7 linked regions of the Oryzias latipes genome follow. The main gene of each other region encodes a partner of the protein of the gene in region 4 in a complex. Links are inferred from orthologs where the notes say so. Each region holds a gene or a part of one and is shown on either strand. Other genes may lie near its edges. The genes, in order: ctnnbl1, cwc27, bud13, cwc15, rbmx2, cwc22 and sf3b5.

What was found.
Region 1: cwc15 (region 4) and ctnnbl1 share a complex: the UniProt entries of both Homo sapiens proteins name them as parts of the PRP19-CDC5L splicing complex. The link is inferred for Oryzias latipes from reciprocal best matches to the Homo sapiens genes CWC15 and CTNNBL1.
Region 2: cwc15 (region 4) and cwc27 share a complex: the UniProt entries of both Homo sapiens proteins name them as parts of the minor spliceosome. The link is inferred for Oryzias latipes from reciprocal best matches to the Homo sapiens genes CWC15 and CWC27.
Region 3: cwc15 (region 4) and bud13 share a complex: the UniProt entries of both Homo sapiens proteins name them as parts of the minor spliceosome. The link is inferred for Oryzias latipes from reciprocal best matches to the Homo sapiens genes CWC15 and BUD13.
Region 5: cwc15 (region 4) and rbmx2 share a complex: the UniProt entries of both Homo sapiens proteins name them as parts of the minor spliceosome. The link is inferred for Oryzias latipes from reciprocal best matches to the Homo sapiens genes CWC15 and RBMX2.
Region 6: cwc15 (region 4) and cwc22 share a complex: the UniProt entries of both Homo sapiens proteins name them as parts of the minor spliceosome. The link is inferred for Oryzias latipes from reciprocal best matches to the Homo sapiens genes CWC15 and CWC22.
Region 7: cwc15 (region 4) and sf3b5 share a complex: the UniProt entries of both Homo sapiens proteins name them as parts of the minor spliceosome. The link is inferred for Oryzias latipes from reciprocal best matches to the Homo sapiens genes CWC15 and SF3B5.

Annotation. Positions count from the first base shown.
Region 1 is NC_019865.2:1,882,946-1,886,958, reverse strand, and holds part of ctnnbl1 (beta-catenin-like protein 1), read left to right. Parts: intron 1-1,845; coding exon 1,846-1,983; intron 1,984-3,086; coding exon 3,087-3,159; intron 3,160-4,013. UniProt on the Homo sapiens protein: Component of the PRP19-CDC5L complex that forms an integral part of the spliceosome and is required for activating pre-mRNA splicing.
Region 2 is NC_019870.2:3,041,524-3,045,536, reverse strand, and holds part of cwc27 (peptidyl-prolyl cis-trans isomerase CWC27 homolog), read left to right. Parts: intron 1-2,959; coding exon 2,960-3,039; intron 3,040-3,117; coding exon 3,118-3,148; intron 3,149-3,216; coding exon 3,217-3,398; intron 3,399-4,013. UniProt on the Homo sapiens protein: As part of the spliceosome, plays a role in pre-mRNA splicing. Probable inactive PPIase with no peptidyl-prolyl cis-trans isomerase activity. As a component of the minor spliceosome, involved in the splicing of U12-type introns in pre-mRNAs.
Region 3 is NC_019872.2:13,069,887-13,074,436, forward strand, and holds the start of bud13 (BUD13 homolog), read right to left. Parts: upstream 2,953-4,550; 5' UTR 2,924-2,952; coding exon 2,787-2,923; intron 2,646-2,786; coding exon 2,558-2,645; intron 2,157-2,557; coding exon 2,072-2,156; intron 1,995-2,071; coding exon 1,596-1,994; intron 1,293-1,595; coding exon 988-1,292; intron 904-987; coding exon 795-903; intron 643-794; coding exon 504-642; intron 423-503; coding exon 241-422; intron 96-240; coding exon 14-95; intron 1-13. Other genes in the region: uncharacterized protein LOC101171185, read right to left, coding at 4,199-4,296, 4,397-4,550. UniProt on the Homo sapiens protein: Involved in pre-mRNA splicing as component of the activated spliceosome. As a component of the minor spliceosome, involved in the splicing of U12-type introns in pre-mRNAs.
Region 4 is NC_019872.2:16,000,531-16,005,008, reverse strand, and holds the start of cwc15 (spliceosome-associated protein CWC15 homolog), read left to right. Parts: upstream 1-1,444; 5' UTR 1,445-1,544; intron 1,545-1,900; exon of another isoform or gene 1,901-1,903; 5' UTR 1,904-1,910; coding exon 1,911-2,041; intron 2,042-2,844; coding exon 2,845-2,957; intron 2,958-3,065; coding exon 3,066-3,166; intron 3,167-4,027; coding exon 4,028-4,138; intron 4,139-4,338; coding exon 4,339-4,478. UniProt on the Homo sapiens protein: Involved in pre-mRNA splicing as component of the spliceosome. Component of the PRP19-CDC5L complex that forms an integral part of the spliceosome and is required for activating pre-mRNA splicing.
Region 5 is NC_019872.2:23,468,080-23,472,547, forward strand, and holds rbmx2 (RNA-binding motif protein, X-linked 2), read left to right. Parts: upstream 1-1,371; 5' UTR 1,372-1,474; coding exon 1,475-1,479; intron 1,480-3,013; coding exon 3,014-3,129; intron 3,130-3,211; coding exon 3,212-3,263; intron 3,264-3,331; coding exon 3,332-3,461; intron 3,462-3,536; coding exon 3,537-3,723; intron 3,724-3,792; coding exon 3,793-4,070; 3' UTR 4,071-4,280; downstream 4,281-4,468. Other genes in the region: ap4m1 (AP-4 complex subunit mu-1), read right to left, coding at 521-578. UniProt on the Homo sapiens protein: Involved in pre-mRNA splicing as component of the activated spliceosome. As a component of the minor spliceosome, involved in the splicing of U12-type introns in pre-mRNAs.
Region 6 is NC_019879.2:6,699,869-6,703,881, forward strand, and holds part of cwc22 (pre-mRNA-splicing factor CWC22 homolog), read right to left. Parts: intron 1,902-4,013; coding exon 1,636-1,901; intron 1,249-1,635; coding exon 994-1,248; intron 786-993; coding exon 657-785; intron 1-656. UniProt on the Homo sapiens protein: Required for pre-mRNA splicing as component of the spliceosome. As a component of the minor spliceosome, involved in the splicing of U12-type introns in pre-mRNAs. Promotes exon-junction complex (EJC) assembly.
Region 7 is NC_019873.2:17,221,188-17,225,845, forward strand, and holds sf3b5 (splicing factor 3B subunit 5), read right to left. Parts: upstream 3,224-4,658; 5' UTR 3,099-3,223; intron 1,225-3,098; 5' UTR 1,200-1,224; coding exon 939-1,199; 3' UTR 333-938; downstream 1-332. UniProt on the Homo sapiens protein: Component of the 17S U2 SnRNP complex of the spliceosome, a large ribonucleoprotein complex that removes introns from transcribed pre-mRNAs.

The sequences.
Region 1 (4,013 bases), on a different chromosome or scaffold from region 4:
AAGTTGGAATAGGTTTTTCATGCTTAAAATATAAATGTTGGACATTTTTAAAGTCTCTTACTATTGCATTAGATTTTAACATTTTCCTTGCAGGATTGCATCATTTGGAAAACGGGCCTTTGCTTGTTCACATGACCAGTAATGCCTGCTGGGGGGGGGAATCCTTCTTTTTTATTTTCTTTAAAAAAAGGCTTTTGTGTATTTGCCATCCTGTGCTGCAGAGAAACCCAGAAATGGAAACGGGGGGAGTAATTGAGTTGTCTGTGGCCATGTCAGAAATGTCTGTGGTTCTGTGTTGCAGAGATGGCTGCAGGCCGTCATGAGCTTCATGTAAAGTAAACGGCTCCTCTAGAGAAGCAAGAGAAACTGCAGAAAATAAAAGCGGCTGCTTTGTCTTTCGTCTTCCTCGGGGGGTGACATGTATGTAGTGTCTTCTTTGTGTTTCATGCAGATGTAAAACCTGCATTTTGGTGAATTTGAATTGTAAGATCTGTGCGGCTTTGCCAAAAGCTGCTACTTCCCCTCCCTGCAAAACGATAAGCCCAGTTGTTGTCCTGGAAACTGAGATTATCTCTTTTTTTTCTAGAGGGGGGAGAGGAAACACATACTGAATTCAAATGGAAGAGTTTCAAGTTTTTTTCCACGCTTGTCAGACAAAAAGGCTGAGCTCTGGGACTGTTTTACAAAGTGATAGCTGTCCTCTTCAAAATAAAACCAGCCAGTGGACACTGACAACATGAATTGTATGGCCTGCAGGGGCTACCGTCTGTCGCCGCCCCCTTTGTGACCCGCCCTCATTAGCGGGGCGGCTGATATAAGTGCCCCTCACATTCCGCCTCTGCCCCTGCAACCCTGGCCAGAGCTGCTCAAGACAAATTCTTGAAGAAGAGAACATTTTCCATGGAAGCTTTTCTGTTTGTTTTATCTCTATGGCAACCATTTTGGGTAACGAACAGGTCTACGTAATTTGTAGAACAATCGGCTAAAGTGAATTGTTGGGAGGAGTTTAAATTTGTAGAAGCTACTTAAAGTTTTTTTTTCTTTTTTGGTTAAAAAAAATCAAGATGGCAGCCTCCTCCTGAGGTCAAAGGTCACCTCAGCTGGGATTGTTACCCTGGCGACATGTGTGTGAATTTTTTAAATGTAAATCGCCCAAACAAAACAAATCTTTTACCATATTATGGGAAAACTTCACACTTTGCCACAATTTGGATGCCAAGCTGTGGGCTCTGTGGCCATCCCATAATATTTTCAATACTTTCCCTCCAAGGCGCAGTAAGACAGAATTGCAAAAACAATCAGGGAGGCTGCGGGACAGAATAAACGCGTCAGACCATCATCTGCACGTTTGGTTTTTGTAATAATATAAATTCATTTAGATATATTATGCCTTTGCTTTGTAAATCTAAATGTTTGCAGAATCAAAGATGCAGGTGAAAAGGTGAAAAAAATCGCAGTGACACGTTTGATTCCCGCCCAAACTGCCTTCGTGGTCGGCGTTTTGTGCTTCTCCCCGTCCACCTTCACACTCCCCTCTGAATCTCTAATGATGATTAATGCGGCGCTGTGTGCTTATTGGCAGCGTTGTGTTATTGGCATACTGTCCAGACTCCTAAGATGAATATGTACGCGAGTGAGCAAACGTATGTGTTGTGTTGGAGTCTTTTCTTTTTTCAGCTTCTCGCCGGAATCGATACCTTTTGCGTGGCAGGTCACTGGAGAAAAAGGATTTTTTTGAAAAGGCTGATTAACGGCACATTGATTGAACTTTGCATCAGATTCCCTGCAGCTGACATCTCCGTGTGTGTGTGTTTGTGTGTGTGCGTGCACATGGTGAATGTGCAGGAGATGGTTCAGCGTGGAGAAATCCTGGACGACAGCATGGAGGACGAGTTCTACTTTCGCCGTTTGGATGCAGGATTATTTGTCCTTCAGTTAATCTGCTATATTATGGTGGAGATCAGCAACTCTGGGATTTCACAGGTACACACACACACACACACACACACAGGCTGGGTTTGTAACGAGTTTTAAGAACAATCAATTATCATTAAGGCATTTGATCAGGGAAGCCATGGAAGCAGGCAGGAGGCAGATGTTTCTATAGGAGCTGCAGATCTGACTGGTTCTGCTGCTGTTCCACATACATCACAATCTGTTTACTTTGTTTTTTAAGCACTAATATTAAAGTTATAACTGTCTTATTCGCTCTTGGTCGTGCTTTCCTTCTTTTATAAGAGTAATTGATCATTATTTTCTAATTGCTAAACTGCAATGAGGTTTTGTTGGAAATATTCCATCAGATAAAACTGTAAATTGTACTTGTGATGAACTGAAAAATAACAAATGGGTTTATGCGTATTAAAGTGAACTTGTGCTGTCCAACAGCTGAGACATATAAGAGGTGAAGGCCTCTTGTGTTGGACAGATTGTAACTTTACAACATGGGGTTATGTATCTTCTGACACACGAGGTGTATATTTGTATAAACCCCCCATTTGTAACTTAGCCTAAAGTTTTTTTTTTTATATACATTATATTTGTTTCCGTTTTTGCCGGAAGTTTATAATCATTTCTGTCAGGTGCAGGTGTTAGTCTAAAAGGGGCGGGGCCTGTCCACACACACTCTCAAATGTTACCTGTTGGCACAAAAACATCTTCACAGTCAAAAATGTCAGCATGTACACAGTACAACTACCGTTTACACACGCATACTTGTGCTGAAATACTTTAAGATATATTTAATGTAATACTGAAACCTCTTCTGAAAGGAGATGAATTTTTCTACAAATTTCTCATCCTGATACTAATATAAAGGCTCTAAATGCACTTCTCTTCCAAGGCAAACTAAAGAATTTACTTATTTAATTATCTCCTCCTTAAATAATGTTAAATGTGTGTGCAGAACACTGGATTTGGTGAAATTGTCCGTAGATTTCTTCACTAAATTGTCACTAAAGAGTTGCTATTCTTTACATTTTTTACTTTTCCATCAATACATATAGAAGTACACTTGAGAAATTTGCAAAAAGAGCCTGTTTTGTTCCAAATCCTGGTTTTGATGAGTGTTTTTTCTTGGCTTTCAGCTTCAGCAGAGAGTGCATCAGATTCTCAATCTCAGAGGAGGCTCTGTCAAAGTTGTTCGCCACATCATGAGAGGTACGTGACTTCTTCCTTCACCCAGTTCAAAGCAAATTCAGGTCCGTGCCGGAATTTGCTTTCCAGAAGTGGCTGTTGTACAGCAGAATAACAGAAGACCAGCAAAGCGGGTTGAGCCTTTGTAAATGAAACGCTGGAGACCTTAGACTTGTACCTCGTTTGTGAGTCGGCTCTTAAATACACAGCAGCCTGTGGCTGTTGGGACACTTCCCACACACTTCCCACACAACACGTCAGTCATGTGACAGGGTTTGACGTTTCTACTAGATATAAAATGCAGATGGAGAAATGATATAGATATAAATAAACACAGCACACCTCAGGATCTAAAACGTTGTTTTTGTTTTTTAAAAGACTAAATCTATGGTTTGTGTTGTAATCAGTGTCCCACCATATGTTGTCATTTCCACTCGGCCAAAGATTTCCCGTGCCGCCGTCTCTCGTTGTTTTTCTCAGACAGAGCAGATGTGTTGTTCCCATTCTTGTGCGACATCCATCCTCCTGGTTTTACCGTTGGTTGTAGCTGGAGGGCGGGGGCTCTGAACACACGCCCTCCAGCTCCGGCTGGCATGGAACGCCTCAGATAGTCATCCGTCACACGGCGGTGCCGGCAAAGATCTCTCTCTCTGTGTGAAGCTTACTGTTGCAGAGTTCTCTTCACATCTGAATGCTTTTCATTTACGCAGCTGAAACAGCCTGGGGTCAAATTGACCCCAGAGGAAGGACCAACGCATGTGATATGTGTTCAGCACAGTGAAAAAAAATTATCATCATGATAATTTTATGCTGTCCCCATCAAATTAGGAAAAGTCGTGAAATATGAAGCCAAAACAAAAAAGTAAACTATTATTTTT
Region 2 (4,013 bases), on a different chromosome or scaffold from region 4:
GACAATCAGAGGGTTGTTAGTTTGGACATCCTACAGACACGTATGACATCTCATGCATGCAGCATTCGCGTGCGGTCAGTAAGCGGCCAGTACTCCCCCCCCCCCCCCAACACACACTCACCCGGTGACAATATATAGGTTAGTATCTATAAAAATTGTGTAAGTACACCTAAAATTGTATCTTTTAACATTAATAAAAGAAAAAAGCAATATAAATCCACTTTCAACAAATATTAACTTTATTTAACCACAGAAACCCTGTTATGGTCTAAAACAGAGAAGTAGCTTTAAGTGTCTGAAATTATTCCTTAGTTAAACTAGAAACATTTTGACCAACTGAACCATTTGATGCTGAGAAAAATAATTCAGTCACTAAATGATATTAAATGTAAATTGATTTGAAACATTAACACAGCTGCACCAATTTATTTAACGTTTTTAGTCTGAAGAAATAGATAAAAAAAATTGTGCTGATTTTATTTTTCTAAATGATGGATTGTTTATTTAAGATATCAAGAAGTGCAGCTGTTTTCCTGCATTACCTGCTGTCTTTATGTCAAATACTGACACCAACTAAACCACAGGCAGACAAAGAATACATTGATGGAAAATAAAGACACGTAACAAATATGTCTACAATAGCTCATAAAGAAAGACATTATTAGCATGAGCTGAGTCATCTAAAGGCATGTGATGATCCTGGTGTTGCGTAACCATGCAGCGCTCCGCGTGCACGTTCCACCTGGCAGCCTGAGCCCACTACCCCTCCCCTCTCCTTCTCACACACGCGTGTGACAGGAGACGGGGGCAGCTGCAGGGACGGCAGTTCACAGGTTTCTGTTACAAACTCTGAGATTTAAATAAATATTCAACCGGTTTTTAGTACTTAATTCTTATCTTTTTGGTTTGGCTCGCTTTTATCACAAAAAAATGACTACCGTAATTTCTGGATTATAAGCCGCTACTTCTATCACACGCTTCCAACCCTGCGGCTTCTTCAATGATGCGGCTAATTTATGCATTTTTTCTAACGGCCGCTAAGGGCGCTCGAGCAGAAAGGGTAAGAGTGAGACAGGGGGAATACAGTATATGTGAATGCTTTGTGAATGGATAGCACGAACAGACCCTCATCATGGAAAATGCAAGAAGAAATGCATATGACGCAGCTTTCAAGTTAAAAGCAGTCGTTAAAAAAATCCACCATCACCAACGGGTTTGGAAAAGCCGGTCTGCTGCTGACGGAGAGGACAGCGCACGCTCAGGAGGGAATTTACCTCAGAGTGACACTGACGGAGTGTGGCAAAGAATATCTGACGCTATTCCAATCCAACACTGAGGAGGAAGACTTCCATGGTTTTAGTGCACAGAGGCGCTGCTCTCAGTGACTTTTACCTGTATGTTTTTTTAACCAGCCCTGTCAGTGCTGTTTCTACCATATTGCTGCCGTGTTACTGCAGGCACTGATTGGAAGAGAGCTGTGGCGGACCTCGAGTGCAGCGGCAAAGGAAAGCGATATATACACCGATAGTCATGATGGATTAAATAAAGCATCAGTTCAGAGAAAAAATTCACCTCTTACCGTTTGTTTTTGTCCACATGATGAAGCTAAGGTTTGTTTTAAAGAAGCCAGTGCAGTGATACAGAACATTTAAGCTATAGGCGTGCATTATCACTGTGATAAATCACTTTTTAATTCACGCTCAGCAGAAAATCAGAATCGAGTACAGTGATCCCTCGCTATAACGCGTTTTACTTTTCACGGTTTCGCTACTTCACGGATTTGCATCGTGCATTGTGTTCTGCATTCTGATTGGCTAAAAAGTCACTCCGCTTCTTCTCTACCTGGGCGTCAATAACGTTGCAGTTTAATACACATAGGTAAATCAGCTTGCCAAATTTACAACACGTACGTGCAAATTATCTTGCAATTTTGAGTTTCTCTAAAACCCATAGAAAAAGAGCGACAACTGCCAATCACTATGTTCTTCTCCCGATCAAACACAGCTGCACCGCGGGCTTCAAAAGAAGAAAACACTGCAGAGCGGAGTCAGGATGCAGCGACTCAGTCTGAAGAGCAGTGAAATACACCTGAGTCACTATTTGTCCCACTGTACTTTGTATTTTTTTCATAATCATTTTAAAATTTCTCCTGTTTAATCCAATCCTTTGGGTCGCGGTGGGCGGGGCTAATCTCCGCGATTTGAAGCCTTCTGTTCACATCGATGATTAAAATTATTATTTGACAGTACAGTACAGAAGTTATTTGTTGAAAAAAACTTTCTAAAGTACTTTTATTTAATGCTAGAGCCTGTAAAATGGTTTGTTCTTTCTTTTCAATGTATAATAGAGGATTTAATTGTATAATAATTGTTAAAAGAAAAAAGGTTTCTACTTCACGGATTTTGCCTAAGACAGGTTCTTTTTGGAACGTAACCCCCGCGTAAAACAAGGGTTTACTGTATTCACCCGGACCATGGTATAAAAATTGTTTCACTCACTTTAAATACCGAATTTAGGTTTTTCAGTCACTTTCTTTGGAACAGGTGTATGAAACCATGAAAAGGTCTAAGTGTCATCTGCATAGCTGTGCTGTGTTCTAATATTTTCATACAGAATCTGACTTTAATGCTGTAATGACATTAGAGAACAGTGGGCCTGAAAACAAACCCTGAGGAACTCTGCAGCCACAGGGATCCAGTTTGAATTACCATAGGAACAGTTTTGCTTCCCAGACAAAAACGAATCTCAACATTCCTCTAAAGTATTCTACACACCAAAACAGATTTAGCCTAAGTTTAAGTGCTTAATAATAAACTGCTTTTGTATGAGAACAGCATCGAAATGTTCAAAAAAACTGAAACAAAAGTGTTTTTTTTTTTTACAAACTGTGAGGTTTATCATGAGGAAAAACATGTTAGAAGGTGCTAAAACCAACAACTGACTTTCTTTTTTTCTTCAGACATTAAAGGGAAAAAGCAAAAGCAGCCACGACCTTCTGAAAGACGACCCCCAGCTCAGCTCCGTCCCCGCCGTTGATAAGTAAGCGCCGACGGACGCCGAAGCTTCAGGGTGTTTGTCTGATTGTTCACGTTAAACCCGATTGTTTTATCTTTAAAGGAAGAGGAAAGGGGGGGCTGGAACTGGAGAGGTAAGCTTTAATAATCTAAAAAAAGAAAACGGGTAGATTTGTAAGGATCATTTTCTCTTATTTATCAGTCAGAGGACGATGCAGACAGCGACGTGGACGGTGACGTGGCTGCAGGGGAAGAATACGACTCGGACGGCAAAGAGAAGATGAGAGAGCTCATCAGTAAGAAGTTAAGGAAAGAGAAAAGCGGCGACAAAGCAGCCGAGCACGGAGGAGAGGATGAGGAAAAGGGGAAGACGACGAGCCGCAGGTACGCCGTTCAGCTTCTCTGTTTCTTTTTTTGCCCCTTTAGCCGTAAAAGCAAAGGTTTTTTACGGCAGCTCACGGACTGGTTCGATGTCAGACGAGATTTTCACGGACCGGCCTGCACGAGGCTGAAGTCTGATTGCTTTTTTTCAGCTTCCAGTTTCCCTTTCAAGGGTAAAGTTTATCCTCATTCCCTGTAAAATATCTGCGGTTCATTTAAACTTTATTGTTCACTGGATTTCCTGCAGGAACCATTAAAATGAATCTAGATTTTCCTTTACCCATAACTGTCAAAACGGAGGCTAAAAAGTCAGACGCCGACTTTAGCCTCATCTCACTATTAAAGAAAAAAGGGTCACTAAAACGGCTTTTTTCTATGTATCATATTAAACACCAATCGTTTAAACAACTTTATTAGCAGCATCTTTGTAACATCAGACAGCCGGCTGCTAAATATTCTGCATAATCATTATCATTACGGCCCGGAATACATCCATATTTGGAGTAAAGACTCCTGGTTTTTGTCTGTTAAATGCAGATTTCTTTTATTTTGAAGTCGAAGGCTTTTCTTCTGTTTCATGTCTGGATCTTTTCTGCCAAAAAAATACGGTTAAAAAGA
Region 3 (4,550 bases), about 2.9 Mb from region 4:
TCTTCAACTGTACCTGTCCACTCCATCCCAACGGTAACCGGGAGGAATGTTGAAACGGTTTGGGGGTGGCGTAGGTCCATTGTAGCGAGGTTTGTCTGGAAACAGTAAGAAAATTTTAAATGAATCATGTAAAACTGCAACTGAGATATTTGCTGTACTTGAAGTACTAATGCCCAAATTTTTCCATCAGAAGAGTAAAAAAAAAAAAAAAAGTACAAAAACTTGTAGAATGTTTCAAACCTTGTGTTTTTGAGCTTTTTTCCTTTTTCCGCCGAAGCATGGCAGCCATGGGATCCCCGTCCCTCTCCTGCTCCCTCAACATGCGGTCCAGATCTTCGTCGTCACGGTGACGGGCCAAGGGCTTCTGGGCTTCCAGCAGGGCGTCCTCCAGCTTCTGCTGCTCCATCTGATTCTGAGCCAGCCTAAACACAAACAATAACTTGTCTTCTTACATGTGGTGGAAGTAGCATTTTCAGTGACTTGGTATGGTTTTGTGGATTTACCCTTTACCCCACTGGGCATATTTTTCATCTTTTGCAGCCTTTTCTCCTGCTTTTCTCTTCTGCTCCTCCCTTTCTGAGGTCAAATCCCTCCTTTTGCCACTTTTGTCTCGGAAGACCGTCTCCGCATTACGAGATTCATCTGATGCGTAAATAGTATAAATAGTATAAAAACACTTTCATATACCGGTACTTCAGAAATATAGAAAGTCTAAAGTTATACGATAAGAAAAGGGTTGTTTCAAACTCTCTTTTTTTTTAAAAGTAAAACTGAAAAACAAAAGCAAGGCCAACCTTCAAGAGGTTGATTCTTTTTTTCTCTGCGTCGGTTTTCCTTTTGCTCTTCCCTTAGAATCTCCACAGATACCAAACCAGCCTTTCCTCCGGAAAGCATCCTGTGGTCCTGAAAAACACACAAAAATATTAGATGGGGTTTGTGCTGCAAATTAGGTTTCACACGAATCCCTGAACAGCGCAGATCCCTCACATGAGACTGGCCAGGTCTCCGTGGTGGTGACAGATCTCCATCCGAGTCCTTTCCACTCCTCGAGTGCTTTCTTGGTGGAGACTGGTCGGAATCGGATCTCTGCCTTGTTCTGGAGCGTCTCCGAGGGGGAGACTGGTCAGAGTCGGAAGCTTCTCGCTTCGATTGCTTTTTCCGTGGAGGAGATTGATCGGAGTCTGAATCCAGCCTAACCTTAGTCTTATGAGCTAAAGGAGACCGCCGATCATCTGGCGACCTTGGTTTACCGTGTAACGATGAGCTGGGCTTCCTTCTAGTGGGAGAAGACTCTGAGAATCAAAGAGAATGTTTGCACTATATATATTAGAGTGCAGAGAGCAAAACTAGTAATCCTAATATGAAATAGAAAAAAATAAATGTGTTTTACATAAACATTTTATTGTGTCAATATAACTATTGATATTTTTAGTAACTACTATAACCCAAAAATCTAAGAGGTTCCAGCTTTAAGCTTATTCAATGCTTAAATGGCATTGGTATGCCGTTTTCAGCTTTTTCAGTGACTTGTGCAAAATGAGCATTGTTCTGTATAAAAGCAAGAAAGAAAATCTTAACTGTAAAATAAAACTCACCTTTACTTTTAACTTTCCCAGACTTCCTTAAATGTTGCCTTGAAGGAGACTTGCTGGGAGAGTCATGGCGTCCTCTGCTAGGAGGAGATTTATCCGGAGAGTCATGGCGTCCTCTCCTAGGAGGAGATTTATCCGGAGAGTCATGGCGTCCTCTCCTGGGAGGGGATTTATCCGGAGAGTCATGGCGTCCTCTCCTGGGAGGGGATTTATCCGGAGAGTCATGGCGTCCTCTCCTAGGAGGAGAAATGTCTGGAGAGTCGTGTCTTGGTTTTTTGAAAGGGGAACCATGTCTCCCACTTTTCGATGACAGCTCTGGTGAGTCATGCCGACTTTTTTTAGATGTTAAAGGCTCCTCCTGCTCATTTTCTTCGTCAATTGTTTTGTCTTCGTCTTCATCCGCTACAGAACAACACAGTTAATATGAAAAACAACATAATTTAAAAGAAGCCAAATTTATATACTGCTTTTATAGTTACCCCCAACTATTTTCCATCTGTTACTGGTCCTAAAGGCCTCCATCTGTTTCACCTCTTCTGGCCGCTCATCGATGAACTCTGCAATCTGAGAAGGTAAATCAAAGTACAAAATTTAGGTTTCCTTGGCTTTAAAACTTTAATGTACATAACATAGACCAAATCAAATCATTATTTACTCTGTTCAAACATCTGTGTTGACTGCTTCACACACAATGCAAGTTTCCCACATATTTCATTCAAACCAATGTGTCAAATCTATCTTGCATCGATTATCCTGCATTAAAGCAGATCAATTCAATCTCACGTCAGATGAAATTCCTGTGTTACGTCTGGATTTACATTTCAATAATGTTAACAAAAAAGAAAGACATACATTTTATTATCATCAAATCAAATATCGCCATCAGACTTTCATGCGTGTAAAAGTTAAACATAGTAGACCGTACTGCGGGGGAAATGCTAACGCAAGGCTGCTAGCTAACTCACCACCGGAGCTTCCTCTTCATCCTCTTCGACATCCGGCTGCTGTTGGACCATTTGTCTCCAATCAATATCATCGTCTACTATTTTAAGTCTAGATAAAAACAACGAAGTAACACAAAATAAAAACGATTAAACTCATAGAAACAAAGTTCCAAATCAAAAATAGCTTAGCATAAGGAAACTAGCTTGGATGCTAACAGAAAGCCAAACGGCGCAGTATTTCGGTACTCACCTTGTTTCAGGAAGCTTTTTTCGTTTCTTCTTGCCTTTTCCTTTAGATGCACCATGGTTGTCGTCAGCTGATAAATACCGCTTTAAGTACTCAGCTTTAGAAAGCTCGGGTCCGGTTCCACCACCGACCGCTGCCATCTTTGTATTGTGGGAAACTACGGGTCGCGTCAAGGGTCAATGTAGACGACGAGGAAGAAGACGCGTTTCTGTATTATTATTATTATTATTATTATTATTATTATTATTATTATTATTATTATTATTATTATTATTATTGTTATTATTGTTATTATTATTATTATTATTATTATTATTATTATTATTATTATTATTATTATTATTATAACAAAAAAGTTACTGTTATGCATAAATAAATACATTGAAGATAAAGTTGACTCCAAAGAAGTTAAAAATGATAACTACTGGGCCACAATCTGCTGCAAGACTGTGTCTGTGGTGGGACCCAGTGACTGGCATACAAATAATGACTGTCACCAAAAAGGCTAAAATTGCCTGATTTCCCTAATTGACCCACAAATTTAGTCGGTCATACACCGATGCCTAGAAAGACAGGAGAGCAATGTTTTTGAATTGTAAAAGTCTTTACTCTTCTTTGCATACGATTTCAATTCTTGTTCTTATTTTTTTATTTGTCGATCATTTTTTTTACACTAAAACTTTTTCAAAAATATAGGCCGTCACTACTTGCTTTTTATAACAGAGACAAAAAGACCTAAATATTGTCCCTGTTACATGTCATGTCCAATATGTAGAGACAGATTAAATGTCATGGGTTATTGTTTATCTAAGACAGTAATAACCAGCTGCTGGTCTAGTATGATTTCCATGAATGACAATGCATTTAGGCTCCATTGAGAAAATGTGACATTTCCAAATACTGGTATTTATCTGTCAACAGTGTTCTTTGATTTATGATTTAAAAAAAACAACAAAAACAAACAAACACACAAAACAATTATATTTGTTCAATCATAAATGAAATGATTACAAGCAAATTCACAGAGCTCTTCTTTTATTAACAAGCAAACAAGAACACAATCAATTTGCTGCTTTTGCAGTGAGGAAAAGGCCACAAAAACTATTAGTGCTTTTTAATGTAAAAGAAAAGAAAACATAAAATCAATAATACCTCATTAATAAGTCAGCAACTGCATCTCTTAGTCTGCCATTAGACTGTCTCCCTCGACGAAAAAGCTGCACTTTCATTTCTACTAATGGTTAATTTACATTCAGTACTCACAGCTCTCAGCTCCTAAACATTTAAATCGTCTACAGTGGAAACATTTACCAGTGTTTTTTACAGAAGGAAGAGAGATCTATTCTGTGACAGAAGCGAAAGTGCTTAGCTTAGTGAGTATCTGCAAAAGCCTGACTGTTCTCTTCTCAGTGCCATCAGCTGTCATTGTGATGAAGGAAAAAGACCAGGCAGCCAATCAAGAACCAGGATCTCTGCAGAAACACGCTCACTGCTGAGCATGGCACCAGGGAATCTGTAAAGAGGGAAATTATTGAAGCACACCAAAAATCTATCGAAAAATTCTGCCAGCTTTTGGTTAACACTCATTCCCTTCAGCTCTTCAGTCCACCCACCTTTCTCCACTGTGATTTGTTTCATTTCCCCATATATTTTGCACATGTAGGTGGTGTTGGGTGGGAGCTTGTCTTTGAAGTCAGACAGGGTCATCCTGTAGCCGTGAGGCTCCAGTTCCACCACTTGGCTTTTATCATTAAACTGAGCCTCGGC
Region 4 (4,478 bases):
CTTTCTGGGGCAAAAGAAACAAAGGTCACCTTTAGTAACAAAGTACGTCCCCATGGGTAAAGATCCCCCCGCTTAAACGAACACGGGTCCAGGCCGTCTTAAGTTTGCCAGAGATCATCTGATTGATCCAGAAGAGTATTGGGAGAATGTCATTAGATCCAAATGGAACTCTGGTATGAACACCTCTTGCATTTGTTAGAGTAAGCATGCTGAGGTCAGAACATAGCTGGCTCTTCCAGCATAGCAATCATTCCAAACACACTAAAAATGAAGCTTTTTTTTTTTAACAAAAAGTTGGTAAAATGTCTGCAAACAGGTGCAGAATTCTAATTGAAAGGCACAGAAAACAAAATATGAAGTTTAAGTTACCAATACTTTGTCCAGTCATTTCACTAGTTAATTATTGTACAAAAATTCCAGAGTTATGCCTGATTTTCATTAAATTATTTATAAATTGATTAATACTTTTGTCATTTCTCAGACATTTCTTAAAACATTGGAGGGGAGGGACAAGTTTGGTGCAATCCAAATATTGTTCAGTATTAAGGGGAAAAGGGGCAAATCATGTTCTCTCTTCTCCCTTTCATTTAAGAGTGTATTTTTGAGCCTAAGAGGTGTTTTAGATTTGTATTTTCACAATTATGTATTGATATATCTTTGGAAAAGAATAAAATAAACTCATCAAACTTAAACAGCAAACACTGAACAAATATAAACCAGTGTTTCTGTAGTTGAAGTTAAAGCCAAAGGCAGCAAAGAGTCCAACGGCACAAATCCAGAGAAACATCCTTTTAAAGAGGAAGGCATATTATCTGAGAAGAACATCTCAAAACCTAAGGATGAAGACTCATCAGGTCTAAAATGGAAAAAGACAGGAATTTTACATCTGTTACAAGTGTTTCAATTATGTTTAATAGAATCTACGTATCAAGACTGTTAAATAAAGTTAAAAATAATGTGTTCAATTTGGAATAAACTATATTTAAAAATCATGTTGTGATGTTAATGTTCACTTTGAGTGGAGAAATTAAGCTACAGGAAGACACTGAACCTGATGCACATTGCCCCATGGTGGCCACGTAAAATGTTTTGCAAACCCTAATCGCACATTTCTACAGTAATTCTACCGGTTACTTCAAAAGAAGAGACAAGATGACTCCTCGTAAACACTTCCTTGTTTACACCAGTGCTCAAAGGTTTTATATGTTTTTCATTTTAAATGTGAGTGTTGGTTTGCTGAAATCAGTAATAGACATTTTTGGCTGTAATGCTTTAGAATTCAACCATGTACCCTGGAATATCACCACAGCATTTTGAAAAAGAAAGGTGTAACAAAGCATTTTTGTGCTAATTCTTTCTCCTTTGGTACAATATAGTAATTTCTTTACGATAAATATCAGATTACATTTGAAATGAGTAATGCATTTTCCAATTCTTTTTAAACGCACCAACAGAATCGTATTCTTGACGCATGCGCAACAGCAATTTCAATCCGGAAGTGACGTTCTATGGTATCCTCTTTCCGCTAGCCGTGTAGTGGAATCGTGAGTATTTTTTCCAAGTCAAAGACGTTTTTTTACAGATGTTTTTTTGTTAAAACGGTATAAATATGATAAATGTAGCCATACATCTCGTTTGATTAGTGTGCAGTGAATCTTAAAACAAATAAGTTTTCTAAAGAGCCCAAAATGAGTTTTTTGTCTTGTCTGAGTGTTAGCATAATCAAATTTGGTGGCTAGTAATACCCTTTATAAGTATTAAAGTCTGTTTAATCGATAAATGTATGTATATGTTTTGTTATATACAACTGATGTTACCTTGTTTGTTCTGCGTTTAAAGTACAGTAGCTAACTGAAAATAACTGTACTCATGTTTGACAAATACCGTGTTGTTGTTGAAGCAGGTTAGGGATGACTACCGCAGCAAGACCAACGTTTGAGCCGGCGAGAGGAGGGAGAGGAAAAGGAGAAGGCGATCTGAGTGCCTTGTCCAAGCAATATTCCAGCCGAGATCTTCCAGGTCACACCAAGATCAAATACAGGTGGTTTTTAGTTCCTATTAAACTCTGCTGCGACAGCTCAGTTGAAAAAGAAAGCGATTGTTTGAAAGAAACATATTTAATCATGTTAAGATTCTCGAAGATTCAATCTGAATTATTTGGGAAATGGTCAAACCGGATTGATTAAATTAGTCTTTTTGTGCTATAATTATTAAAAAGTGGAACATAAATCTACACTTGATTAAATGTCTACATGTATAATGTGTTGGGTACAATTAAGCTAACCTCACGTTGGAGCATCACATGAATCAGTTTATGACATGGGGGGGGGGGGGGGCATGTGTGCATTTTCTTGTCTATTTAGTGTCTCTCCATGACCCTTAAGAAAATGTTAAATAATTTGCTCACAAATATCTTGCATCTAATAAGTCATTGCTCAGTATTAAAATGGTTATCAACTAAATTGTATAACCATAAAGCTTTTGTACATTTGGAGTACATCATTTAGTATTGATAATTCTTGATGGTTTGTTTGCTGCAGGTTATGTTTAAATTGTAGCTACAGTGTGTAGGAGGGGTGGTTTGCATTTACCAATTGTGCAAGTTCTACAAAAAATATTTTTACAATTTTCGCTATATATTTTTTTTTAATATGCATTCAATCTCTCACAGTTGTAGTGTATATGATGGAATCATAGACCTCTCATCTTTTTAAATTAGACAATTTGCTAAATATGTTACTGAGAAATACTTTTTCCCCCAACTGTACATGTTACTATTTATCTCATGAGTGGTTTTTGGAGTTTGTAGTGGGACTTAGTCTTGAAAATGCTATGATCCCTTAGACAGCCCACTCAGGATGCCCCCGAGGAGGTGCGTGCCCGTGATTTCCGTAGGGAACTGGAGGAGAAGGAGCGTGTAGCAGCACGTGAGAAGACCAGAGAGAGGGGACCAAGAGGTTAGTCTCTATCAAAATTTTAGACTTACTGTTTTTGACACACAAGTATAAACCAAGCAAAGTATGTATTTTTCTGTAAATGCAGTCTTTACATTTTTTTCTCTCCAGAACACACTACATCCTCTTCATCATCTTCATCATCATCAAAGAGGCCCAGGTTGGATCAGATTCCAGCTGCTAACCTTGATGCTGATGACCCTCTCACTGATGTAAGTGTCTGCACTGATATAATAAAGAAAACATTTCATCAGTACACCTACGGCTGGGAGATGAGACCTTTTCTCGCTGTTGCACTTGACATGATCTGAATAGATATTGATATTTTAGTGCTATAAAACTTTCTCTTTAAAGACTGTAAATATTAAAATTAGCAATAAAATGCCTGGATTGACTTAATTGGGGAAAAATCACTGTAAAGTTGACTTTTAACAAACAATTTCTTTTGTACAACTTCTCTGCTTTGGACACATTAAACTTGAAACATCCCAGATGGTTCATTTGTGGTTAATTTTAGCTGATCAGACCACCTAAAAGAACAATTGTGGGTAAACTTAAAACTTAGTTTTTTCATTCAAGAAAAAAAATGTACACAAAATTTAAAAAGTGTGGCAAACAAACTTGATTTAAATATGACCGTTGTTCCTCCTCTGGAAAAATTGAGCAGACTGGGGCTCTCCAAATGCCAGGCTGGTGTATTTAAAGGCTAAACTCCCTGCATTGCCTCTTATGGTCGGTCCCACAGTACAGCTCCTGAAGCTGAACCTCATCCACATCTACAGCTACCAGCAACACATCCAGCACTGGTACCTCCAACAAGGTGGCATTAGTTAAACTGATAACTGTAGCTGACTTAAAAGTGTCCAAGTGTGCACACTACAAATAAAGACTGATGTACTCTCTTGTAAATGTCTTTTATTGAGAATACGTCTGAAAATGTCAACTTATTTAAAAGTCATTAAACAGTGGAAAAGAACGTCAGCAGTGCATGGGGGCTGTCACCATTCTGCCATAGTTGTGCTGCATGAGGCCATTGCAGCCTTAATCCTCTCTAAAATCCTTCCTCTTCACAGGATGACGAGGATGAGAACTCTGATGAAGATAGTGATGATGACGACACTGCAGCTCTGTTGGCTGAGCTTGAGAAGATAAAGAAGGAGCGAGCCGAAGAGCAAGAACGCAAAGTAAAACATTTGATCCATTTTGTTTTGGTACCTCTGTGTTTACAGTCAGCAGCATGACTTTGTTCAAACACAATGTTTTAATAATCAAGGAAAAATATGATTCTTGATGTACAAAGCCTTGAAATAGAATCTGTTTCCATTTTACGTAACTCATATTTTCTTGGTTCTTTCTAATTGTTTTTGTTCTCTTTCCATTAAAGGAACGAGAGCAAAAAGCAGAAGAGGAGAGGATTCGAATGGAAAATATCTTAAGCGGAAATCCACTCATAAACTTGGCTGGACAACAACAACAGCAGCAGCAGCAGCAACAACAGCAGCAGCTGGTCCAGAGTACATTCAG
Region 5 (4,468 bases), about 7.5 Mb from region 4:
CTGTCTAAGCCTGCTAGAAGGCCCTGCTGACACCAACTCAAAATCTGATTGGATGAGGGAAATTAATCTCCGACATTGATTTTGCATTAGAGGGCCTGCAGAACAGATAGTGAAGGCCTCTGTAGCTCTGACCCTGCCTGGCAACAAAGGAGAGCTGGAATGTGATTGGTTAAATGTTCCAATGTGAAAATACGTCTGGAAGCAGCATCACCATCATAAACACACTAAAAGAGGAATGGACAGACCATTTGGAATGATTTAATGAGAATGCATGGACGAACTCTAATTAACACATGATTCAGATAATTTTTAGGCCTTCAGAGAAGCCCATCACCATTGAAAATAACAACTTTAAAACACCTGTGTCTGACTGATGCAAAAAATGTACCCCAGATGGGCAAGTACAAGTACCCCTGCTAGAGTAAGTCTGTCCCAAAGGGGAGATCTTTCACTGTATAGCAGAACTGAACTTCAAAGCAGGATGATTTAAACAGAAGCAGGTGAGAGCTGAGAAGGATACAGTCTCTGAAGAGGAGGGGGTCGCCCTTCGAGGACAAGATGAAGAGCTGCCGGATCATCCTGCAGAGGATAGAGGACTGTCGGGGCAACAGTTCACCCCGGTGGGACAGCTAGGGGGAGTTTCAGTGCCACTGCAACATCTGCAGAAACAACATCTGCAGGAACACGTCCAAGTCTGTCTGCAGAACTGCAGTCAAGCCGAAATAAAGGAGAAAACCCCTGTTTATGGGGGAAATGACAAACAAGCAGCATCTCATATTCACTGCATGAAACTAGTTATTATGAGGAAAAAAATAAACTAACAATAAACAATCAGATTGTCTGGTGTGTGCTACTGTAGGTGTGCGTCACACATTAATCTCAAACGTGTTAAAGGTGACACTGAGTAAAGCGGAATAGGGTAAAGACAAGTCGAAGGAAAACTGAATTTACCTGAAAAGATGACACAGTTCAGACGTTTAAACTGAACTTTAAGTGTTTTAAAGCCATGCTAACGTGGAATTACAAATCATTTTCCAGTTCCACGTAAAATCTCCTGCAATGATGTCGACTCTAAGAAAGGGTGTTATTTAAACATTAAAAGCTTGAAAAACACAACACGCTTTAAAACGTCCACTGTCTGGTTTAAGTGTTGCATCCTGTTAAAAATGAACTGTTAGCTTGTTAGCGCCACCTGTCGTGCAGGCGGAAAGATTGGACGCTTGCTTTTTACAGACAGAACATTCAGCATTTCACAATTTCTTACAAAAATAAAATAAATACATTTCTTGTTTATTAAAAGCAGCATTCGGGCAGTGTTAGACGCTTCGCGTTCGCGCAGTTTTCTCGTTCATTTCATCTGTAGTTCGGTCATCCAACCACCAGGCGGCAGCACACGCAGAACCTCCACAGGAAGTGCACCACTTCTCCACGCTTGGTCTTTGGCACCATAACATCGCTGCTGTTCGAGCTCACCATGAAGTAAGTAAACGTTTCCCTCTACAGCCATTACATTAGTTTTTATTTTTCATTTGGTAGAGAATCCCTTTTCTGGTCGTTGGTTTCCTGTTGAGCGGATTCCAGCCGATAGCAGCAGGCTTTATGTTTCGTGTGTGTCGCCTTTTCCCCATTTCCATTCAAATTCTCCACTGTAGAACTTCAAAAACTTCTAAAAACTTCTAAAAAATCAAATTTGATTTTTTTAAACTTAATAGACCAGGTACTGAATAGCCACCTACTGAATTCGTACTTGCGTTTGATTGTATTTGCATTTTAGAGGTGTAACGATTGCATACCAATCAGTGGTTGTTGATGTGATTCAATCATTCGATAATTGTTCGTTTTATCCGATTCAGTGACCTAATGGATCCAGGACATCTTTATCCAAAACATCATCCAGTGTGACTCAGCGAGAAATACCTGCTACTGAAATGTGAAGTTTTCCAGATTCCTTAGATTTCTTCCAAGATAATCAAGTTTAAATTAAATATGTACAAACAAAGAATTAAAATCAAATCCATCCACATTTTAGTTTCCTGAAGTTCAGCCCACTGTTGTTTTTCCACATCCAAAGAATCCAAAGGGAACATTCTAGCACACTGTGTGGTCACATGACTTTCTAAATTCAGTTTTGGACTGGAATGATGGTTGATCAGTTTTTGATGAAATTACATGTTTTTTGTCTGCTGTAATGCACTCTGTTAATTTTGATTGTGTCTGAATTCCTTCAATACTCACTACCTAGGGGGCACTATGTAGTGCACTATATATTGCCCTATATAGTGCACAACATTCACCATGTTGTAGTGCTGTCCGAACCTACAATTTCAAAGTCGAGTGCCCTAGAAATTTCCCAGAAGTCTCTGCGAAAAAGCAGTGTGCATCGAGTGAATATAAACCACAATGCATTGCGTCGAACAGTTTTTGCAATTTTCTTTTTTTATGTTAGGGTGGGAACTTGGGGCACAGCCTTTATGTTATAGTAAAATGACCTCACCAGGTCTCAATCCAAACGGTGGTTTCCAATATCGATTCAATAGGCAGAGCTGAAGGTAGCAGAGATGAAGATGTTGAGGTTCTCTTTGGGAGAGACCAGGATGCATCAGGAATGAGTCCATCAGAGGAGCAGATCATGGTTGATATTTGGGACATGAATGCAGATGGAGATGGTTTGGAGGAGCAGCAGTGATGATGCTGAGGTTACAGAAACCAGGAAAGAGGCCTAGCGGAAGACCACAGAGGAAGTTCATGGATGAAGAGGAGGGCATGAGGGTTGTTGGTGGGGACGATAGAGGAGAGAGCTGGATGATTAATGTAGCAACTAAGAGACAAAGAAGATATGGTTGAAATCTTCATAATGTTCATTATGTTGAGATGGTGCATAAAAAAATAAATTGATGAAACATGAATATTAGAAAGCTGACCTTCAGGTTTATTTCACTTTGTTTAAATGAACAGAATCTTGACTGCTGTCTTCTAAAACACTGAAAGTTTCCTGCCGGTTGATTTGTTTCAGTCCTCTGACGAAGGTGAAGCTGATAAACGAGCTGAACGAGCGCGAGGCCGACCTCGGGGTCAACGAGAAGGTGTCGTGGCACAGCGAGTACCGGGACAGCGCCTGGATCTTTGTGGGTGAGGGGGCGGAGCTTCTCACAGGAACCTGCAGTAAATGAAGCGTGAAAGCAGGTGGTTGACGTCTGTTCTGATCCTGCAGGAGGCTTCCCCTACGAGCTCACAGAGGGGGACCTGCTCTGCGTCTTCTCTCAGTACGTACCCACAGCCTCGCTTTGGGGTGGGGTGGGGGCACACACCGCTTACTGATGTGTCCGTTCAGGTACGGTGAGATCGTCAACGTCAACCTGGTGCGCGACAAGAAGACGGGAAAGTCCAAAGGCTTCTGCTTCATCTGCTACGAGGACCAGCGCAGCACCATCCTGGCTGTGGACAACTTCAATGGCATCAAGGTGAGGCCCCCACCCCCCACCCGGGGCGGCGCCACTGTGAGCATCCTTAATGATGAAGCTCTTTCTCCCCTCCAGATCAAAGGACGCACCATTCGCGTAGACCACGTAAAAAACTACCGCCCCCCCAAAGACGGCGAGGACATCGATGATGTCACCAAACGCTTGAGGGAGGATGGCTGCGCCCCCACGGGCCCTGCCGCCCCCCCGTCCTCCTCTGAGGATGACGAGCAGCTCGTCATACCTGTGAAAAAACCCAAAAAAGGTGAGGTCACTTCCTGTTCTGTCATTTATGAGGGGGAGGGTCAGTTTCACCTGTACTCTTCTGCTGCAGACAAAAAAGAGAAGAAGAAAAAGAAGAAGGAGAAGAAGAAGAGCCGAGCTTCCTCCTCCTCACCTCCCATCCGAGTCAAAGAAGAAAAACGAGACACGGCGTACGACAAGTACGCCACGGGGGGGTCACAGAACGGACACAATGAGACGGAGAGGAGGAGGGAGGAGAAGAGGAGAGACAGAGATGTGGAGAGTAAGAGAGAGACTGAACGAGAGAGGGAGGACAGAAGGAGAGGAGAGAAGAGGAGAGAGGCGGACAAGGAGAGCTCCAGAAGATAGATGGAGGAGTAAAGAGAGGAGAATGATACATTCTCTCCTCAGCAGAAGAGCTCCCCCTGCTGGCTGACATCCTCCTGTAAACAAAGCTTCCATGAGAAGCCTTTTTTTGTACAGATATTTGTAAAGTTTGTCTTAAGTGTTAAAAAACAAGTTTGTCTTCTGGGCGATGATTTAAATAATTGATTTATTAAAAAAAATTCAAACAGCAAATTTGATTCTCTTTTGAAAACGTTTCAGAATTCACTAAAGCTTAAGGAGCATTTAAATAAAGACATTTGGAGAACAGAATTATTTATGTGTATCAAGCCTGAAGGGATCCAGAAAACTTCAGACATTGACTGTTTACAAGAACTGGACTGAGTGACCCCTCCCCCTGGCATTTTACCATTGGTCAGAAT
Region 6 (4,013 bases), on a different chromosome or scaffold from region 4:
CACAGGAGCTTTGGGACTTAAAACACACACATCAGGTCCAGATGTTTGACTCCTATAGGAAAACTTAGAAATAACATTCAAAAAGGGCTGCACGTTATGAGGAAAACTGGCGATTTGCGATATTAGTGATCAGTTTTGCGATGAGGATATAACTTGCGATAAATCAACATATAGCAAAACAACTAAAAACATAATTTCCATTTCACTGAAAGAGATTAATTTAAATAAGAGTCAACATAACTTAAATTACACTCCAAATGACCCCCGCCTACATAAGAGGCGAACATCTAACATAAAAGGCCTCCATCTGATTGGTCAATGTTGTAAAGGGTCCATCTGAGAGGTCAAATGCAGAAATGGATTTATTTGATTCGTTAAATACTTTAAGGTGTCATAGGACTGTTTGAGCACATTGAAGGGAACCATTTATTGCAATTTTTCGCCGTCTTTTGCGATATGCGTATTGTATAATAATTGATTTGCGATTTATTTTGCAGGCCTACATTCTAGTTTTTTAAATTATTTGATAAATAAAAATGACTTAATAAAAGCAACGGAAACTGTTCTTCAAAGCAGAATATCGTATATTAGCCTCAGTTGTTACTGAGGTTTTTCAGAAGTTATGTGCAGTGTTTTTTATCTGACCATAAGCTCACCTCCCTCTGACGATATTTTCGTGTAGGAGCTCCTGGATGATGTTGACGATGTTGGACACGTTGACTTTGTTGATCAAACCGTTGATGGACTTCTTCAGAGCCTCCCAGCTCATCCTCTGATAGGCCAGGCTGTACAGGCAGGCAACGAGTTAATCAACTGGCTAATAAACTGACTTCAGCTGCTGAACAGACAAATAAATGAAATAATAAGTGATCTGAAGCTGCTAATAAAACGTAAAAATGGTGAATAGCTTGATAAAAACCTGCCACTAAAATGGAAAGTTCCAGAATGGGTTCATACCTTTAGTTAAATAAAAGGTCTTAATCTCTGTCTCACCTGCTCTTGTCAGTGATTTGTTGCTGCATCATGCGCAGCTTGGCAGGGGGAATGTAAGCACCCCCGGTCCTGGTCAGGATCGGATCAATCTCCTCCTTTTTCTTCTTAACGGGAGGCTTTTCGGCAGAATCTGGCTCCTTGTCATTGGAAGGAGAAGCGGAGCGGCCCCGCCTCCTCTCACCGGACTCCATATCCCTGTTGCCTCGCCAATCAAAGCGTCCATTTCTATCGTCGCGTTGATCCTGGTAGCGATCCCTGAAAATCAAAAATATTCAAAAGGTTTTGTGTCAAACCCGTGAAAGGTTCGATTTCTTGAGACTCACGTTCGTCCAATCTGTTCAACATTAGTTCTAAAGAGTGGATTTAAATATGTTAAAAGACTTTACAAAAATAATTTTGACCCAAAAAAAAGTTAGGTCTACAAATAAACATGGGGAAAAAAATGATAAATCCAGCAAAAAAAAGAACATCTAAGAGTAAAAATAATTATGACAAACCTTTGATTTAAAATAAGATAATTCTAAACTAGGGTACCCTAACATATAAATCCACAGCTGCTTAATGAAATTCAAAGAAGTTTTTCCTTCTATTTAAAAGAAATAGGATGAAATCAGACAGTGTTGGTGTGTGTCTAACAGTTACCGAGCATAATATCTTCTGTTAGAACGGTCTGGGTTCCGGTCTCTAGATTTGGACCTGGATCTGTCCCGTCTTCTGGACCTCGATCCGTCTCTTCCCCTGGATCTTGATCTGGATCTGGATCTATCACGACCCCTGGACTGAGATCTTTCTCTCTCCCTGGACCGGGGTTGGTCTTTCTCACCCGACTTGGATCTGGATCTGGATCTGGATCTGGAGTTGTCCTTTTCCCTGGATCTGGACCTTGCTTGCTCTTTCAACTCCGGTCTCTGAAAGACACAAACATAGGACAGTTAATCAAGACTGCCAACTTAAGCTGTTCACATCATGCAACTATGTGAGCTTTTGGGTTACCATTACAAATCAATCTAAAAAAACAAATATTCCATTTCTATTGATTAAAAAAAGACATTTTTTTGCTTCCAAGCTTTAGTTCAGTTGAGTGACGGAAGCAACTCTGCAGTCCATCGTCTGTCTACATCCGTCTGCTTTAAATAAGAGCCTGCAGGTAACTGGAGAGCTCGTCTCTCAGAAAACAGTCATTGCCACAAAGTCTTCTTTCATTTGTTATTGTCTCAATCAGTACTCCAGTTTTTGCTCAGATATCCTGGGGTGCCTTTCTTCAATAAAAAAAAAGCTAATTTCCCTCTGCCTGAAATCTCAATTAAGATGCTATTTTTTTTTAATCTGAAATTATTAATTACAAGTAGTATTTAAAAGAATTTAACATCAGATAAAATATGTTGTATTTAGTCACAAAGTCAAGGTATCTATTAAAATGATGCTCATGATGGCAGAAATGCTTAACTAAGATTCAGATGATGGCAGATGGAAATGATATTGCATCTTTTTTGGCAGCTTTCTCTGCGAGTTTGTTTAAACTAAATGGTGGTCAGTTTTCATTCATGAAACCTGAAGACTTTAAATCAACAATGTAAAAATAGTGGATGTGCAAATGTCTACAGTACATAAAGCTTTTCTGGGGCACAGTGTACTCTTTAAACTGATAATAGTGTGACATCAGAAAAAAAGAGGACATTTTGATCATTAGAAAAAGAAAAAAAGCTTTGAAATGAATTAAGACAAGTATATAATAAGGACACTCAGACATTCAAGAAGAAACCTTTACAAAATAAAAAAGTTAATGACAGACTTCACACATTTAAATTCCAGATGCATCTGATTTTGAAAAGCCAGACAGATAAAACATGATTTTCCAAGTCTTTAGGATTAACAGCACAATGTAATATATTTAAACAGAGAAGTTAATTTCAATAGTTTATTTATGTTGACTCTTTTTTTAAACTAAGAAAGACAAGTGGAAAATTATCATTAAAAGTTGAAGTTTTTTCTTCTTTTTTTCTCCTTTAAGGAGTCTTAAATAGTATATTCAAAACAGACACTTTCTACATGGAAAAGAGTATTAATTTCCATAATTCATTTCAAAAAATTGAACTTTTATAGTGTAAAGGTTTGGGGCCCACCATTTAATTGATTTCAAGTGTATTTGTTTGGGGATTAATTGGAGTTCCAGCTCATAAAACCCACAAAAACAAGATTTCAGAAAATCTGAATACGGTACTGTGGGGAAATCTCCCCTTTTGCAAGAAGATAAAGACGGAGGTCATGATCACATGAAATCCATTAAAATAATGTATTTTCAAAATGATATGTCGATCTTCATTGCTAGGTTGGGAATCCCTTAGCCTTAACAACTGCCTTGATGCACTGTGACATTGATGCAATCAGCTTGTGGCGTTATGGGAGCCCAGATTTTCTTGATGCTGCCGTCAGCTCTTTTTTTGTTTGACCCCATACATTTTCAATGGCCTTTAGGTTTATCGAGTTGGCAGGCCAGACGAGCATCAAACCAGGCTTTGGAGCTTGTAGCGATATGGGCGGGGTCTAAGTCCTGCTGGAAGATGAAATCTGCGTCTCCATCCAGATCCTCAGCAGGAGGAATCATGAAGTCTTCTAGAACAGTGGTCCCCAACGTTTTTAATGCCACGGACCGGTATGACGTCACAGAAAGGTTCCTAGGACCCGTCTTGAAACTTGTAGACAGATGATTATGGTCGCTATGCCATGATAAACAAGTACCAGAGTCATGGCAAGACGAAGCCTGAGCTTTTATTTTTACACGCATGACATCGTACAGGTGTCATCATCCTCTCCCCTTCCCACATTCATGGTGCAAAAAAAAAAGAAGTACTGTCTACTAAATGTAGCCTTCTTTTTTTGGAAGTGGAAGGCTCCTCTTCTGTTCCCAGGCTGGGTGTTTTCCCCTTGGCAAAGAAACTTTCCACAGACGTTTGTTTTTACTCATTTTGCTAGATCCTGGGTTTTATTTTAGCTGTAACCTATCACATGATCGAGAAGAG
Region 7 (4,658 bases), on a different chromosome or scaffold from region 4:
GCGTTATGCACAGATAACGACAAGTCTGTGCAGGCGAGCAGTCGAGTGCAAACTGCAAGTGATTGTGGAGGTGGACGACACTGTTAAATCTGTAAGGACAAACAAATCACGAGCCAACGCAGTGGAGAACACAATTCACACGCGGCTAACTGGCTTCCTGCCTGAATGGCTGTGATGGAGGCGGTCATTTTCAGACAAAAGCTGCAGAATAAAAGCTCAAACTGAAATCTCTACCTTTATCAAGAGACAGAAAGATCCTTTTATCATATATATTTTGATGGGCAAAAAAAAATTAAAATTTGTGTCTGACTAAAGCCTGCACAACAAAACAGTACTTGTAACTAAGACGTTTATTATAGGTAAACACAATTGGCAAATATTCAATCTAAAGATGCATTATTTTTGAAGGCATTTGTAAAAAGTAAAAAACAAAATCATATATTTTAAGCAAAAACAAAACCACTGCTATAGCCATTGCTGCTCCTTCAACAAAGTCCTAAGGATGACTTTGGTCTTTTTCTTTTTACAATAAAACGTCTTGTTTGGATGATTTATTCATTTAAACGTTCTCACTTTTTTAAATGCGTTTTAGAAAACTGACATATTTCCAGAATAAAATGATCAGTGAAAGAGCTTAACCAAAGGAAAAATAATGTTTTCATTAGAAATACAACAGTTCAACATTGTGCACATATTGGACATTTTTAACATTTTCTGAAATGGATAAGTTCAGGTGTCGTCATTCTCATTCGTTTCCTGAAAGCACTACAGTTAATGTATTCACCGATCAAACAAGTGAGAATAGCTTCAGTGAACACATGAATACCAGATTTTACTGGCTGCTCTGACCTCAAGGTTAGAAACAAACAACCGTCCAAAACTGAAAAAAAGAAAAGGTAAGAGGGAAAAAAAGCTGCAGCAGTTGGTTGGGCTGTGTTTTATGCATCATCGGGTTTGTCTGCAGGTGGTCCACATGGCTGAAGCATCTTCTCCATCAAGTTGAAGCGAACACGAGCTTTGCTTTCATTTTCAGCGATGGAAAAGTAGTTGAGCAGGTCAAAATGACCCATGTAGGAGCAATAAGAGTCACGGTGCTGGTTCACCAGCCATTCCCATTTGGTAGTGTCAGCATGCCCTGTTCCGATGTACTTGGACTGGAGATGCTCCAGCTGACTGTGGATATTGTATCGGTCAGTCATTCTCTCTGAGATCAGTCAACAGGCTCTGGGAGAAAGAAAGTAAATCAGAGATTTGAATTGTGCTTCAGCAAACAGACGATCCAGTCAGATAAACTCATAAACAAGAAGGTTTTAGTTATTCTTGTGACATTTGTGAGGAAAATTACAATTCAAAGATAAAAACAAAATAATTTGAAGGAAAAAAAAACTCAAAATAATGCCTTTTTTATATTATATGGTGGTACATGTAAATAAATTAAACCTTTAAGAAGCAAATGTTATAAACATGGCTAATGGTAAATACACTTCACAAGCCTATAAAATTCTATTATGTGTCTCTCCAATGAGTGGGGAGCATCTGAAAGTAAAGATTACCACATCCAACTGCTAAACTTCAAATATATCAATGAATGTCAGTTATACCATGGTCCAGGTGAATGCTCCATTCTGATTGGCTGCTGAGTGGGGATTAAGTAAGGGATAGTCACCAACAAAGTATACGTTGCCAGAAATTAACGCACGCCGTGGAAACCCAAACTGCCCGATGCTTCCGTTGATTATTAGTGCGTTGATTATCCTGCTTTTACCATGGTCACTTACAAAACAAATACATTTTCAATCAGTTTTTAGTCATTTATTCTTGTTATTTTTTCGGTTTACGTTGCTTTTTTCAAAAAAAGCGGACTTTTTGCAACATGGTGTGGCGTGTTGTCACGTTACCGTAACATGACAACACGCTGAGCTGGCACCGACCTCCACTGCAGCAGTAAAAGCCATAAATAAGCTGATCGTCATGATGGTGTATGTTAAATTAAAGCATCAGTTCAGAATGAAGGTTCACCGCTCACCGCTTGTTTTTATCCAGATGATGAAACAAATGTCTGTTTTAAAAAAGCCGGCGCAGTGACACAGAACATCTAAGCAATGTAACTGGAACTTCTTTTTTTAGACGTGCGGTTATCACTTTTTTAATGCACACTCAGCAGCCAATCAGAATTGAGTATTCACCCGTACCATGGTATAATTTCTGATAATGGACACCTCAAAGGTCATTATCCGTCTTTTAACGGACGACAAGGAAGCTTAAACTGTCAAGACACCTTGTCAGCTATTATCCTTTACTTACCCAGCATCCCCACAAAAATCTTATAGGACACATTGAACACATACCCATTCACCAGTCTATTATTAAACTAGTGTAGAAGTAGAATAATTATTAAATTACTATACTTTGCAGTGGTGTGTATAAACATCAAAATAAAATATTCAGTAAAAACAAAAATATTAATAAACCGTAGAGTTGAATGTCTAATACAGACTTTTCCCCTTATGTTTCTTACGTCCCTTTTCTCCAGATCATATGCAGTTTACTTTGACATAATGAAATACAAAAGCTTTGTTTTGTTGTTTGCACACCAACAAATTCTGTATTTCTTAGATTATCATCCCTTTCAATAACATGAAACAAGTTTTGAATTAGTGTGACAAATTAAAAACAAAGGCATGACTGATTTGTTAGAATTACAGGAAAACGACGGATTTCTCACAGCTATGCAGATTTGAACCTTTTAGCCTAGCTAAACTGCTAGAAATTCTGGTCTTAAGGAAAGGACTCCTCGGAGAGTCAATGGATAATTTTCCCATGAGGAAAATCAATATAATGCACAACTACCAGAAATTAAATAAAATCGTGTCATACTTTATTGCAGATATTTACCATTTATGGTATATGACCGTTTTTGAAAGCACGACTATCCCTTTAAAACAAAGTTACATTTTACTTTGTTAGCTTGATCCTATATCATTAGCCTGGGTCTCGGCTAATAACCTATTTAAACTCCTGAACTTTAGTTTCTCTCGTAGCCAGCGGTGCAACTTCCATGTGGCCATCGATGATATACATATAAAAGGTCAACTTACTTGAAAAGCGCGGGTTTGAAAAACAGGTGAAGCTTGAAAAAGATGATAAAAACTGCGTCCGTCCGAACACACCGCGACGAGCAGAAGCTGGCTTCCGGTTTGCCTTCGACTTAACAAACCGGTGAGAAACCGAGACGGTGTTTTTTTTGTTCCGACTTTTTATTCCTAACGCGATGGTAAAGGTGGACACCAAAGTGAACGACATATAAAACCTCATTTTATGGAAAGGTGAAAGGCAAGTCAAATATTCTGTATCTATTCCTTTTTTTTTTTTTTTTTACAATGATAATTATATATATTCTTGGTCATAAACAGGTTAGGAACAATATTTTTAGATCTGAAAACAGTTTCAGGTTTTCGGTTTTAAAACAGCAGGCATTTAATGAATGTCAACTGTAGTGGACACCAGGACCATTTTAATCTATTTAATGGCTACACATTATTTTTAGGTGAAAGAAGTGAAGCTGAGAGGATTCTGTACCAGATAGTCGAAGGTTGATTCATATTTGGAGCTTTCGGATGATGAAAAGGATGAGGAGGGTGAGATTCAGTCTGTGATAGGTGATGATGAAGATGAAGAAGATGATAATTCAGGAGAATCTGATGAGTCAGAGAAGGTGCAGCAAAGTCTTCGTGCTCTGTGGACCAGGACTAACTTGCATGTTTTATTTAGTTTCAGGCTAATGTCTTACATTTTATGACCATGTTAGAACATTGTAGTGTTTGTACTATGTTTAAATGGAAAAAAAAAAAACTGCTTTTTTTATTAACTTGATTTTTTTTGTGTTTTTTAAACGTACATCATCACAGGTTTACACCTGTGCTAGCAGGGCGCCCCGCTCAAGATGACCCCAAAGTTTGTGAATACTGGAGTCCAATCTCGTACTTTTCACAGTACATCGATAACAATATTTTCGAGGATCATCTAATGTTTTTTGGGTGAATATCACTCTAAAGATTTAATCTGCTCCTTTTTTCTGATTTTCCAAATTGATCTCTATTTTCACAGAAATATCATCCTGTTGTCTTCTATCTACAATAAAAAATATTTTTAAAAAAATTAAAATTGTTAGGTGTTCTAGGCCTAAATAGATAGGAAATCACATAAAAACAGGAATTGTAAGACACTTTTTTTCCTCGGTTCTCAGGAGGTTGAATGTTTTTTTAAATTTTTACATTAAAGTTTTACATTAGACAGGAATGGTCTGATGGTTTTCAGATGTCAGTATGTGACCAGTGGCCATGTATTCACGTGTGCAAAAAACCCTGCTTCGTCAGTATTACTAAATGTGCTACATAAATCAAGTAAAGTTACAATATTTTTCAGTGATTCCAATATTTTATAATTTCTTTCATGCTATTTATGACACAGAATAAGAAACAGAACAACCTCGTTCCTTTTTTTTTTTTAAAAGAAGCTCCATTTTAAAGGAAGAACATCACTAAAGTTTATAAATAATGCATGTTCTGCTGCTTTACTGGGCAGCACTAAAAATTGGGTTTGTTGGCAAAATATGCAAACTGTCATGAGTTTGCAGTAAACAAATCAACCAAAAAAAA